Linked DNA regions of Lonchura striata. The protein of the gene in region 3 interacts with the protein of the main gene of each other region in a biochemical or structural test. Links are inferred from orthologs where the notes say so. Each region holds a gene or a part of one and is shown on either strand. Other genes may lie near its edges.

The links.
Region 1: the proteins of PDZK1 (region 3) and ABCC4 form a complex in vitro, tested with the Homo sapiens proteins (2 studies listed by BioGRID and IntAct, with this or other methods). The link is inferred for Lonchura striata from reciprocal best matches to the Homo sapiens genes PDZK1 and ABCC4.
Region 2: the proteins of PDZK1 (region 3) and CFTR form a complex in vitro, tested with the Homo sapiens proteins (2 studies listed by BioGRID and IntAct, with this or other methods). The link is inferred for Lonchura striata from reciprocal best matches to the Homo sapiens genes PDZK1 and CFTR.

The regions. Positions count from the first base shown.
Region 1 is NC_134604.1:76,663,686-76,667,433, forward strand, and holds the start of ABCC4 (ATP-binding cassette sub-family C member 4), read right to left. Parts: upstream 2,231-3,748; 5' UTR 2,140-2,230; coding exon 2,066-2,139; intron 1-2,065. UniProt on the Homo sapiens protein: ATP-dependent transporter of the ATP-binding cassette (ABC) family that actively extrudes physiological compounds and xenobiotics from cells.
Region 2 is NC_134607.1:34,226,118-34,229,865, forward strand, and holds the start of CFTR (cystic fibrosis transmembrane conductance regulator), read right to left. Parts: upstream 2,274-3,748; 5' UTR 2,152-2,273; coding exon 2,099-2,151; intron 1-2,098. UniProt on the Homo sapiens protein: Epithelial ion channel that plays an important role in the regulation of epithelial ion and water transport and fluid homeostasis. Mediates the transport of chloride ions across the cell membrane.
Region 3 is NC_134604.1:14,078,406-14,082,153, reverse strand, and holds the start of PDZK1 (Na(+)/H(+) exchange regulatory cofactor NHE-RF3), read right to left. Parts: upstream 2,310-3,748; 5' UTR 2,255-2,309; intron 499-2,254; 5' UTR 497-498; coding exon 287-496; intron 1-286. UniProt on the Homo sapiens protein: A scaffold protein that connects plasma membrane proteins and regulatory components, regulating their surface expression in epithelial cells apical domains.

The DNA.
Region 1 (3,748 bases), about 63 Mb from region 3:
TGTTTTAACACTTCCTGAATTTTATGCAAAACTTTTTGCAGAAAATTGACAGCCCCTGCTTATTCAGTTTTACCACAAGGCTCAATTTTGACCAGGCTAAACAGTGGAGAAGAATGAAGGTATCATTTCAGCTGAAATGTACACCCAGAAAACACTAATGCTTGTTGACTAATATACCCATGTTAGTTGTGATCACAAGCACCACAGGTAAGAGACAAGACTTTAGAAGGCTATTTTCACTGCTTTGAATTACACTGCTATAAAAGCCTGATAAGCAGGACACTGGGCAAATTCTAAAGCTTTACATGCTCCACTAAATGCTTTTCCAAAGCAGAAGCTTTATGGTTGTACACCAGCATCTGACTGTGAAGTCTCAAGTCCTAGTTGATCTCTGGACTCTGAGCAGAGCTGTCATTCCCCAAGCACAGCCTTCCACCTATTTTCCCTTAGCAAAGTAAGAACCTAAAAACAATGCAGAGTGATACAGAAGGCCACAAAAAGAATGATACAAGCAGTCAGAAAGCTGGCTATGAGCACTGCATCACATCTAGCTGGATTGGTTTTGGCAGAACTACCAGTAACACCACAAGATTCCAGCAAGGGAAAGGGAACAGACCAGAAGCAGTTGTGGAATGCTACATGGCCAACTTAGGTTCATCCCATTCTGCTTGGATTTTACAACAAAGCTGTTTCCAACACAGGCATCCCTGGTGTTAAAGGGAAAAGTCAAAATCCTGAACACAGGGAGTTCTGCACCAGCATACAAGCTGCCTTTTTTATTATTACTTACTTATTTTCTTTGTTTTTTGCAAATAGTACCTCTGAAGATATATCTTTGACTGATAAACAAGTTTAGTTAAAATTTGTCAGGGTTTTTAAAACCCCACTACCTTCCAAAGGGGACTTCTGCACCTGCTCAGAGTTGCTTATAGAATCAAAGAGTTTTTAATTTGTGTTTCAGAGGCTTCCAAAAAAAGAGCTTCACCTGCCATGCCCTCCCTTCCTTCCCCCTCCTCCACCACACAACATGTGCACCCTGGTTCAGGCTGCAGCCGGTGAAGCAGGATAAGAACTTTCTCGGGAAGTGCTCTTCCAAATGGGATCTGCTAGGACAAACAAGTTTGGTGCTCTCCCGTTTTACTTTGCAAATGTTTTCCTACTACAGTTCAAAGCAACTAAAACGCCGAGCTGCAATTCCTCACCTCTTTGAGTACACATAGATACCCACGCCGAGGTCCCCAGAAGAAGACCAAGCACTAACTCTGGGCTGGGAGCCCTGTGGCCCCGTACAGTTTGTGGCAACACCGCCAGCCCTCGCTCCGTGAGACCCAAGCCCCTCCGGAGCGGGGGCAGCAGAGGCGTGGGCGAGCGCAGCCAGGATGCTGCCCCGCCACCCCTTACCCCGGGGAGTTCCCACGCAGCCACACGGGTCAGAACCACCTCACTGCCGGAGGGCAAAGCCTCACGCCGGGATGAGCAATCCCCGCCCGCGACCCGTTATTCAAACGGGGAATCACAAGAATGCCCGGGAGCAGCCCTGCACCCAGTCCCCGGCAGGGCTGCCCGGGCCAGGAAGCAAAAGGCGCTCCCGTCCTCCCCGCAGCTACCGAGGGAACAAACATGTGCTCCGAGGGGCCGACGGGGCCGCGCTCGGCGCCGCCCGCCCGGCGGAGCGCCGCCGCGCCGACAGGCAGGCCCCCGGCTGCGCCGTCCGCAGACCGCAGCCGGGGATTATCGCGGGCTGCCGGCGTCACCTCAGGAGACCTCAGCCCACCTGCGACCCGGGGCTACCCGGGCGGGCAGCGCTGGCAGCCGGGCCCGCGGGGGCGGGCGGCAGGTCGCGCCCGAGCCGCGCCTGCACAATCATCAAGCAGCGGGGCAGCGCCGGCCGCCGCTTCCCTTCCCGGCGCCCGGACGCTCCGGGAGCCGCGCTCAAGTGCGAGCCGGGCACCCTCAGCCGAGCCTGGGCACTCCCGAGCGGCCGGGCGAGGTGAAGCCAGCGGCGCTGTGCCCGGCGCCGCGCCTCCAGCGCTGCCCTCCCCCCTGCCCTCGCCCGGGCGCTCACCAGAAAAAGAGCCGGGAGCAGAGGTTGGCATCCTGCAGCGGGTTAGGCTTCTCCTCTCGGGGCACCGGCTCCATGCCGCCCGCCACGCCGCCCCGACCCGCCCGGCGTGCGGCGAGGGCGCAGGACCACGGGCGACTTCCCACCGCCAGCAGCCGCTGCTCCGCCGCCGGCCGGCGCTGTTTCCGGGAGAACCAGCACCCCCGCCTCGGCCCTCCTCCTCCTCCTCTTCCTCCTCCTCCGGCTGGCCGCCACAAGACGCCTCCTGCCGGCCCGGCTTCCCCGCGACGCCCGAGGAGGTGCCGGGCAGCGCCGGAGCCGCTCCGCTGCGGCTGGCTCAGTGCGGACCGAGCCCCTGGCCGGCAGGCTCTGCTCCCCCCGCTTTCGCACCTGTGTGTGCCCCTTGCTGATGGAAAGCATCTCCTCGCTGCACGCAGCGCCAGGCGAGGTGGCGCTGGATTTTTGGACAGAAAAATCCCTCACGAGTCAAGGGCAAGTCAGACTTAGCGGGACCAAACGCTTGCTGTCAGCGCTCCTTCCCTGATATTGCATATTCTTCTATTAGAAATCGATAACCAAACCATAAGAACAATGTTTAGGAGAGGTTGGCGATACATAATAAAGGAGCGAATTAATTTCAGGACGTGGCGTATCACTGAAATTGACAGTTCTAAAGGTTCAGCAGGTAGCCTCCTCTCCAGTCACCTCACCTATGGCCTGCCAAAGGGACCCTGATGAAGAAGAGCGAAAACTGCAAGGAAAGCAGAAAATGCAGGACAGGTACCTGAAGTAACCTAAGAATTGTTAATCTCTGTGGCAGAATGATTCCCTGCCATGCTTTTATTTCTCTGCAGTCTATAAAATCCAGGATGGCTGAGGTTGCAAGAGACCTCTGGAGGTCAGCTGGTCCAATCCCTGCTGTTTAAGTGCCATGCCCAGGCAGCTTCTGAGTATCTCCAAGGATGGAGATACTCTCCATAGTATACACAGCCCCTCTGGGCAACCTATGCTAGTGCTTAGTCACCCCCACAACGAAGAAGTGTTTCTTGATGTTCAGATGGAACCTGCTGTGTTTCAGCTTGTACCCATTGCTTCTGGTCCTGTCACTGGGTACTACAGAGCAGAACTTGGTTCTGTCCTTTGTTCATCAATATACACACTAATGAGACCCCTCTTAGCCTGGTCTCCAGTCCCTCTCAGCCTTTCCTCATAGGAAAGATTACTAGACTCCCTTCATCATCCTTGTGACCTTTCACTGCAGTCTCTCCAGTATGTCCATGTCCCTCTTGGACTGGGGAGCCCATAACTTAATGTAGGACTCCAGGTGGTCCTCACTTCTGAGTAGAGAGGAAAGATCACCTCAGGTCTGCTGGTAAATACTCATTCTAATGCATCCTAGCATATCATTAGTCTTCTTTGCCACAAGGACACATTGCTGGCTTATGTTCAACTTGGTGTCCACCAGGACCCCAAGCTAGCCCCCAGCCCATAGTGGTGCCTGGGGTTGTTACTCCCTGGGTGCAGGACTTTGCTCTTCTGTTTTTCGAACTTCATGAAGTTCCTATGAGCCTATTTTTCCAGCATGTTGAGGTCCCTCTGGATGGCAGCACAGCTCTGTGGAGTGTTATCAGTCACTGATCAGCCACCGCCCCTGGTGGTCTTTATGGAAAGACTGGATGTGGCACT
Region 2 (3,748 bases), on a different chromosome or scaffold from region 3:
ATTAAGGAAAAAAGGTCCAATCAATACATGTAGAAACTACTCAGTTATGAGCAGAGAGCTACAGTCTGACTTTAACACATGTTAAACCTGCCTCTCCCACCCAAACAGGATAGATTATGAAGCAATAAAACCTTGCCAAGATGTTTATGCATCTATAGCTGATAACAGTTTGTACAATATTAAATAGTAATATATTTATCAGAAAGATTTCCTGAACAATCATAGTTAATATTTTAACATCACTTGTGCTAACATGATCTTCAACTTATTACATTATATTCAGATTGGTACTTCACACATAAATGCATTGCAGACTCTCATAAAAGTCACTTCACTGAAACATGTACTGTGTTGTACTTGATAACAACTATTTCATTATCACTGAAAAAAGCAATCTCTCTCCATACATCTCTTTTCCATTTCTTTGCTCTAGTTAATATTCATCATGAACATCTCCTTAACTTCATATATTTTATTATTATCACTTTGGTTACAGTCACCTGACCAAAAGCTGGTACAGTATAATGCATCATGCATGACAAACATGATTAAAACAACATTCAATTGACTTAAAGACTGTGATTTAAAAGGTGAGCACAGGCATCTGGATGGTTAATTACATACTTAATGAGCATGAACTGCATCTGGTTTCAGACATGAAAACTTTCACTATGGTAGGAATCAGAAATGTATTTGCTTTATCTTATTTGGTTTTTTTCTTCACACCTTCAACACCCTAGGTTCTAAGATTATAAATTCATATAAATTTGTAAATAAATAAAATTAAATAGAGCAAGTGGCCCCCTCAAGCTACTAAATTAAGATACAGAATTATTTCCTACAGATTCTGTCTTATACTTGACAGGAACACTGACTGAAGCATCATTTATGTACACATTACTGTGTACATCATTACTGTACACAGTACACCCCTGTCATGCATACTCTTTGACTCTAACAGTATTTGACAGCAAACAAGGCTTTTTTCCCACTGCAGCACCATTGGAGAAAACATATAAGATCACTATGTTTACCTGGATGTTGGTAAAACTTTAGGAACAGGTTATATTTGGGATTATTCCCTGCTATTATATCTGGCTAACATGCACCAAAGGGGGAGAGACAGGCAAACAGTGACTCATACAGAGTCCCATTAAGAAACTTCAAAAATGTGCAGACCAACCTGCTGAAAGCTATCCCAAAAGGATTTTAAAGTGAGCTAAAAGCCCTCAGTTTTTCAGGCAGAGACCTCACAACAATGTTATAGTTTTACACCATGCACTCTCACTTCAGTCATCATGTTCACATCTTACACAAGATTTCCTCTCACCCTTCCTTGCCATGCAAGAGACCCCCCGGTAACAAAAGAGGGAACCAGTACTCTGGCAAAAGCAGTGCTGTGTGGGCCAATGCCAAAGAGATTATTTGCTCCTTCCAGTTCACAGTGTCATTTCTAGGGATGTCACATAAGACTTATTCAGCTTCCATATTGTCTTACAAAGTACATTGTGCCCAGGCACTAGTATTGGCTCCTTCTCTTTTTATTTGAAGTTTTTAGAAAGAGAAGTCACTAGGGAGTTTGCTTGTAAGAGAACACATTCAAAGCTTGCAAGGAACTGTTTACAGTAAGATCATATATTATACTTGCACATTGAGCAAGTGCTAAACACTCAAAGAGCCAAACAGGAGGAATCCTTGTTCTGAGAGCATTTCCCCTCTGCTCCCTACCACCCCACGATGTTCTCAAAGTTTACATGAAATAAGAGATTAACTAGTTGAGCAACTACCAAAGGTTGCTCAAATTATGTCATAAATTCATCTGTTCGGGTCCAGCAAAGGTTTATGACACCTGACAGAGCCCATTCCTGGTGCTAAAACCCCAGCAACAACAACAAAAAAGAGTGATCTCATCAAAAGCGAGACTCCCACCGCTCTCCCCGCAGACCACTACAGAGCTCGGGGCGCCCAGTGCTCGGTTCCCCCCTCGCCGGAGTGGCTGGGCGGGGGGCGCGGAGCCCCGCTGAGCTCCCCGCCCGCCGCTGCCCAGCCCGGCCCGCTGCCCCCGCCCGCACGCGTCCCGCCGCACCGGGGCTCCCACCTGAAGAAAAGTTTGGAGAAGATGTTCGCCTTCTCCAGGGGAGACCTCTGCATGGTGAGGTGAGGTGCGGCGAGATGCGGTGAGCGGGGAACCGGAGGCAGCCGCTAATCGCTGACGCCTCGCTCGCCCACTCCGCTCCTGCGGCTCTCCCACCTTATCCGCCCGGCCGCTCTGATGTCACCGTCCGCCTCCTGCCCCGGCCCCTCTCCCCGCCTCTGCTTTGCCCCGGTTCAAAGGCGGGCGGGCTGGGGCTCCAGCCCGTGCGCTGCTGCCGCCGCCGCTCCTCCCCCGCCTCCCGCCGCGCCCGGCACCGGGCACCGGGCGCGCCCCGCCGCTCCCCCCGCACCTCTCCTCCCCGGCTCCCCGACGGCTCTCGCCCAGCCCCTTACCTCCACCTGCCGACTCAGCTTCCCGAGCCACCCCACCGCGGGTCCTCAGCCTCTCCCCAGCACTAAACCCCTCTTCTGACCAAGTGCCGAGGTGGGGAAGCCACCCCTCCAGATGGGCCTTCTGCCCTCTGTCCAGGGCGGCGGGGACAGCGCAGCGAGGACAGCCCCGTCGGAGCGTGGACACCCCCTGCCCTCCCGGGCGCGCAGCTGCTCACCGCAGAGCCCGCCCCGGTGCACAGGGCGCCTGCTTGCAGCCCACCGAGACCCGCGGGAGCCGGGCCGGCGCTTGGCCTTGGTGGGCACCCGCGGCCAGAAGCCCCCGTCCAGCGCCCCACGCCTCTGCGCGGTCCCGGGGGCGAGCGCACCGGCACACGGGCTTAAGGCAGAGGGCGAGCGGTCACCCCAGGAAAGGGTGCGGGCAAGCGCGATCATACCGACTTTAAAATACACTTGCTTCAGTTTTTCAAGTTCTTTGTCAGGCCCGCACCTGAACCGAGACGAATGGGAACCGAAGCTGTATCTTTAGTAAGTTTAGCTCAAACACCCAGATCTGAAGCTTTATATGTGTGACATACAAACAAAATCACTGCTTTAATGGCGCACAGCAGAAAGCATATTTGAGAGAGACAAAGATGACAAGAAGCAAGAAAAGAGAACATGTTGATTTAATTCTGTACAGGATTTTATTTTATTTGCTGCTTTATTTTGATATTTATACACTCCAATGCCTTTTCATTTCTGTAACTTAAAAAAGACGAATGGAAAAGACCATGCTTTGTGAATGAAGCAGACTCTGCCCTCTAAACTGGCTCTGTAGAGAAGCGAACGTACTTTTCTACATTTAGTTTGCGCTACAATTTAACCAGCTGTTACTTTTTGCAAACTTTGCAGATACTTTTTATTTCAACGTTTCTCGCTACGCGTTGCTGTGTTTTCACAAAGAATTTCTCTTTGCCTAATTCTTTTCTTAGATTCCTGAGCCAACAAGTGCCCTCTTAGGCTGTCACTGCACCGGGCTCCTTTGTGTCTCAGACCTCGAAACCTTCCCTATTCTGCTTTATTAATGACAAAACCAGTAAGAAACGCGGGCAGGCAGGACTCCAGGAAACTGTCCGCATTTTATCATGTCCTCAGACAATATGTACAGGCAGGGCTAAACCCGCCCAGGCTCCAGGACAGCAGCGCGGAGCCCTTCGGCATCCTGCCACCTAGTGGAGCCGGGCCCGGGCCGCCAGCCCATCCCGCACCGCACCGCACCGCG
Region 3 (3,748 bases):
GGACAAGGGGAAATGGAAGCAGGCACTGGAGTGATGGAGCTAAAAGCTTTACCCAGGAAAAGCTGCACTGTCTACTGCTTCTGTTGTCTCACCCCCTGCTCATGCACTAGGGAGGCATCCCAAAGACATTCCATGCCCATGGTGGGTAATGAACGATACAGGGGGATACTCAGAGCAGTTGACTCTGCTCCTGGGTTTCCTAGCCATAAAAACTGGAAGAAAAAGCTTCACACAGCAGCTGTGGGCCTGGGGCATGGTGTGGATCCCAGCCTGAACAGATTTGTACCTGTGCATGTTCCTCCTTGTCCACGAAGACACCGTTGACCCTGAGCACTCTGTCTCCATCCTGCAGGCCAGCCCTCTCGGCCGGGCTGTTGCGTTCCACGTTCCGCACGATGTGCCCCGCCGTGTCCTGCTCGATCCGTAGGAAGAAGCCGTATTTCTTCTGGGGCTTCTTGCTCACTGTGCACTCTCGGGGCTGCAGAGCAGGAGTCATCTCTACCAGACAGGATGGAGAAAACACCTGTGAGTATGAACAGGAAGCTTACCTGGGGTGTATTCTCCCTAATTGCATATCAAGAGGGTTTGCTTCAGAATTCTTGGGGTGTTTTTTAGGTTTTTTTTTTTTTTTTTTTTGGTTGGTTGGTTTGGATTTTTTTGGCCCCAAAAAAAACAGCTGTGCAAAGCTGAGTTTAGTTAACAAGACTAGCAAGAAGAATCTCTGACCCTCCTTGCTTTTTTTCTCTCTATATCTCACATGAAGTTAAGCAAAATGCAGAACTGAAATAAGGAAAGCCTGCCTGAAAACATAGTAAGGATTGTAGAAAGGGTGTAATACCAGGATTAAGTCTTACAAAGGAAATGAAGTTTTGGGAAAAGAGAATGGAGTGAAGGGATTGTTCCCCTCCCTTTGACACTTGGGGGACCACATGTGAATACTATCCCCAGTTTTGATCTCCCCAAGTAATTACCATATTTGAGCTAGTTCACAGAGGGAATTTTGGTTCTGAAACACTTATTTAAGGAGGCTGAGAGAGCTGGATTTGTTCAGTCTTGGGAAGAGAAATTAAAGGCAAGATCTTCTTGATATCGTCCCACTGCCTAACTGGATTGTGTGGAGAACACAGCCAGACTCTTCTTGGAAATAAACAGTGGGAGGATGAGAGGGAACAGACAGGCTGCAGCACAGCAAGGGAAATTCCAACCAGACATTCATAAGAACAGCTTTTCCTCTTGGGGCCAGTCAGGTATGACTAGAAGTGTCCAGAGAGGCTGTGAAATCTCTGTCCTTGGAGATACCTGGATTGGGCCCTGAGTAACCTGATCTAAGCTGACTCTGTTTTCTATGGGACATTGCACCAGGCCACCTCTAAAAGTCCCTACCTAAAATGCTCTGGGATGTGAAGAAACTGTGGTTTGGGTGAAGTTCGTCATGCAGGAATACCATGTATAGAAAGTAAATAACAGGTGGGGCCAGAGAACATCTCTCAAAACATTGTCCTGCTGAAGATCCATGAAGATGGGGGAACGAGACAAATGAAGACAAATTCCTCCAGTTGTAAAAATCCAGATAATTAGCAACCTTGGTTACTATTTTACTGGAAAGACTTTTTTTTCCCGTCCCTTTACTGACAGAAGTCAGTTCTTTAGATCTGCTGGCAGTCAAATCCTTCTGTGAGAGCAGCTTAGTGCAGAACCACTGCTGTAGCTACCCACGGTGCAGACTCTTTGCTGCACTGCTGATGTTACTTGGGCAGCACATAGAACAGCATGGATGTGTGGGGTGAGTTTGGCACAGATGTCACTGGAGCTGGAGAATACAGGAATTTCAGTTTGCAAGGATATGCATCCTGCAGAGCATGATTCACTTGTAGTCCATGGACCAGTGCTTTGAGTATTTTTGAGTCTCTGTGTATTACACTGACATTAGCTAATATTGGGATGAACTTCCCTGCTATTTAAACATGGTTTAGAACACATCAGACTGTATCAATTGCAAGTACCATTCAAAGTAGCTTTTCTCGACAAACACTGGGAATCTGTGATAATTCATAAATTAAGATGCAAAACCAGTACTACACAGAGCTGGAGAAACAGTAGGCTTCTATGAGAGAAAATTATTTCTTCATATTTAGAAGTGGAGAGAAGGTTACAGTGCACTGCATACAACACCTTTTGATCCATGCAAAATCATTTGTCTTGCAAAAATAACTTTCCAAAGGGAAAAGGGGTTAGGAAAAAATGAACTTCTTACCTGTATCAATGTAGAGCAGCCTTGACTGGAGTTGTCTTTTGCCGTTCCTCCTGAGCTGTACGTATAAGTAAGACTGGACTTTGATTGGGTAAAGGTTGATTTAAAAGATTATTTATTTAACTAAGTTTCACTGAATGTGTGATACTTTGATAGGCTATCTTGTCCTTGGGGGCAGAAGTGCTAATCACGTGCATTTCTCATTAGCTTTGCATTTTGTCCTACTGATATTATACTCAAAAACTCACTCAAGGAGGTCATCTGAGGCAAGCCTGACCTTTGTCTGGGCTAAAGTCTTCTGCTCTGAGAAATGTCTTAAAGTGAGCAGGTTTAGGTGCTGCTGGATTGACCTGGGCCAGCAGCATTTGCTTGCAGGTTAGGAAGTTACTGGTTAAAATTTGCATGCCCATTGTTGGATGGAAAAATAAAAGGCTGTGCCAGGTTAACCTTGACCAGCAGCCAGATGCCCACTGAGCCACTTTCCTCTACATGGGGACATGGGGAGAAAACAGGATGGAAAAACTTGAAGAATTCAAGATAGGGACCATGCCTGGGAGAGATGCATTGGAAAAAAAAAGGGTTTGTGATTTGAGGGGTGGACCCTGACTGTTGAGGCCTTAACACATGTGAAACATGTACTGCAATCAAGTGACCTGTGTAGGTACAATCTCCCTGGAGCAGGTGGAGGGAGGTGCTTGTGATATCAATATGGTGAGGCATGGCAAACTGGCTACACTGTAGGTGCACTGGGAGAGGCTGTGTGGGTTTCTCTGCCTTGGGAAAAGGCAAGTGCGTTTGTGGGATTGTCTTTGCTCAGGAACCCAGGTGCACTTGGTGCAGGAGAAAGTGGAAATCTGCTGTCTACCTCAAGGAGATTTACCCCTGGCAGAAAAGAATCCATTATTTGAGTTGTGTGATATAGGAAGGAATACAGCAGGAATCATCTGAACCAACAGAGAATGAGCCTCACCAGGAACCATGTGAGTGCAGTGCTCACCCACCCCAAGTGGTCTTGTTGCTTAACAATCCAACGTGGTGCTGTCCTGAGTGATCCCCTTGACAGATAGGGCCAAAGCAATTGACTGTTCTTATGGAAATTTGGGGGAGGGAGGGCGTGGAATGGGGGAATACTATCTGCATATATGTCAAGAGACAAGGTATAGTGGTTATAGAGGATGTGTAAACCTGACTGTTGGATGTAACAATGGTTTAGGTACGTAGTATAAGTTGTAAATGTTGGTAAGAAGCAATTTCATGAAGGATAAATAGATGGAATGAAAAGGTTTGAGTAGGGCATAGAAATGAAGCAATGTATGAGTGGCACAGAGGATACTTTGATATCTCAGATCACACATGACATGAATGGTGTGGAATGAGGAGTTGGAACTGTACTGTTCTGGCTGGGGTGGAGTTAACTCTCCCCTGGCAGCCTTCATGCTGCTGTGCTTTGCATCTGTGGCTGAGACAGTGTTGATACCACACCACTTTTTTGGCTGC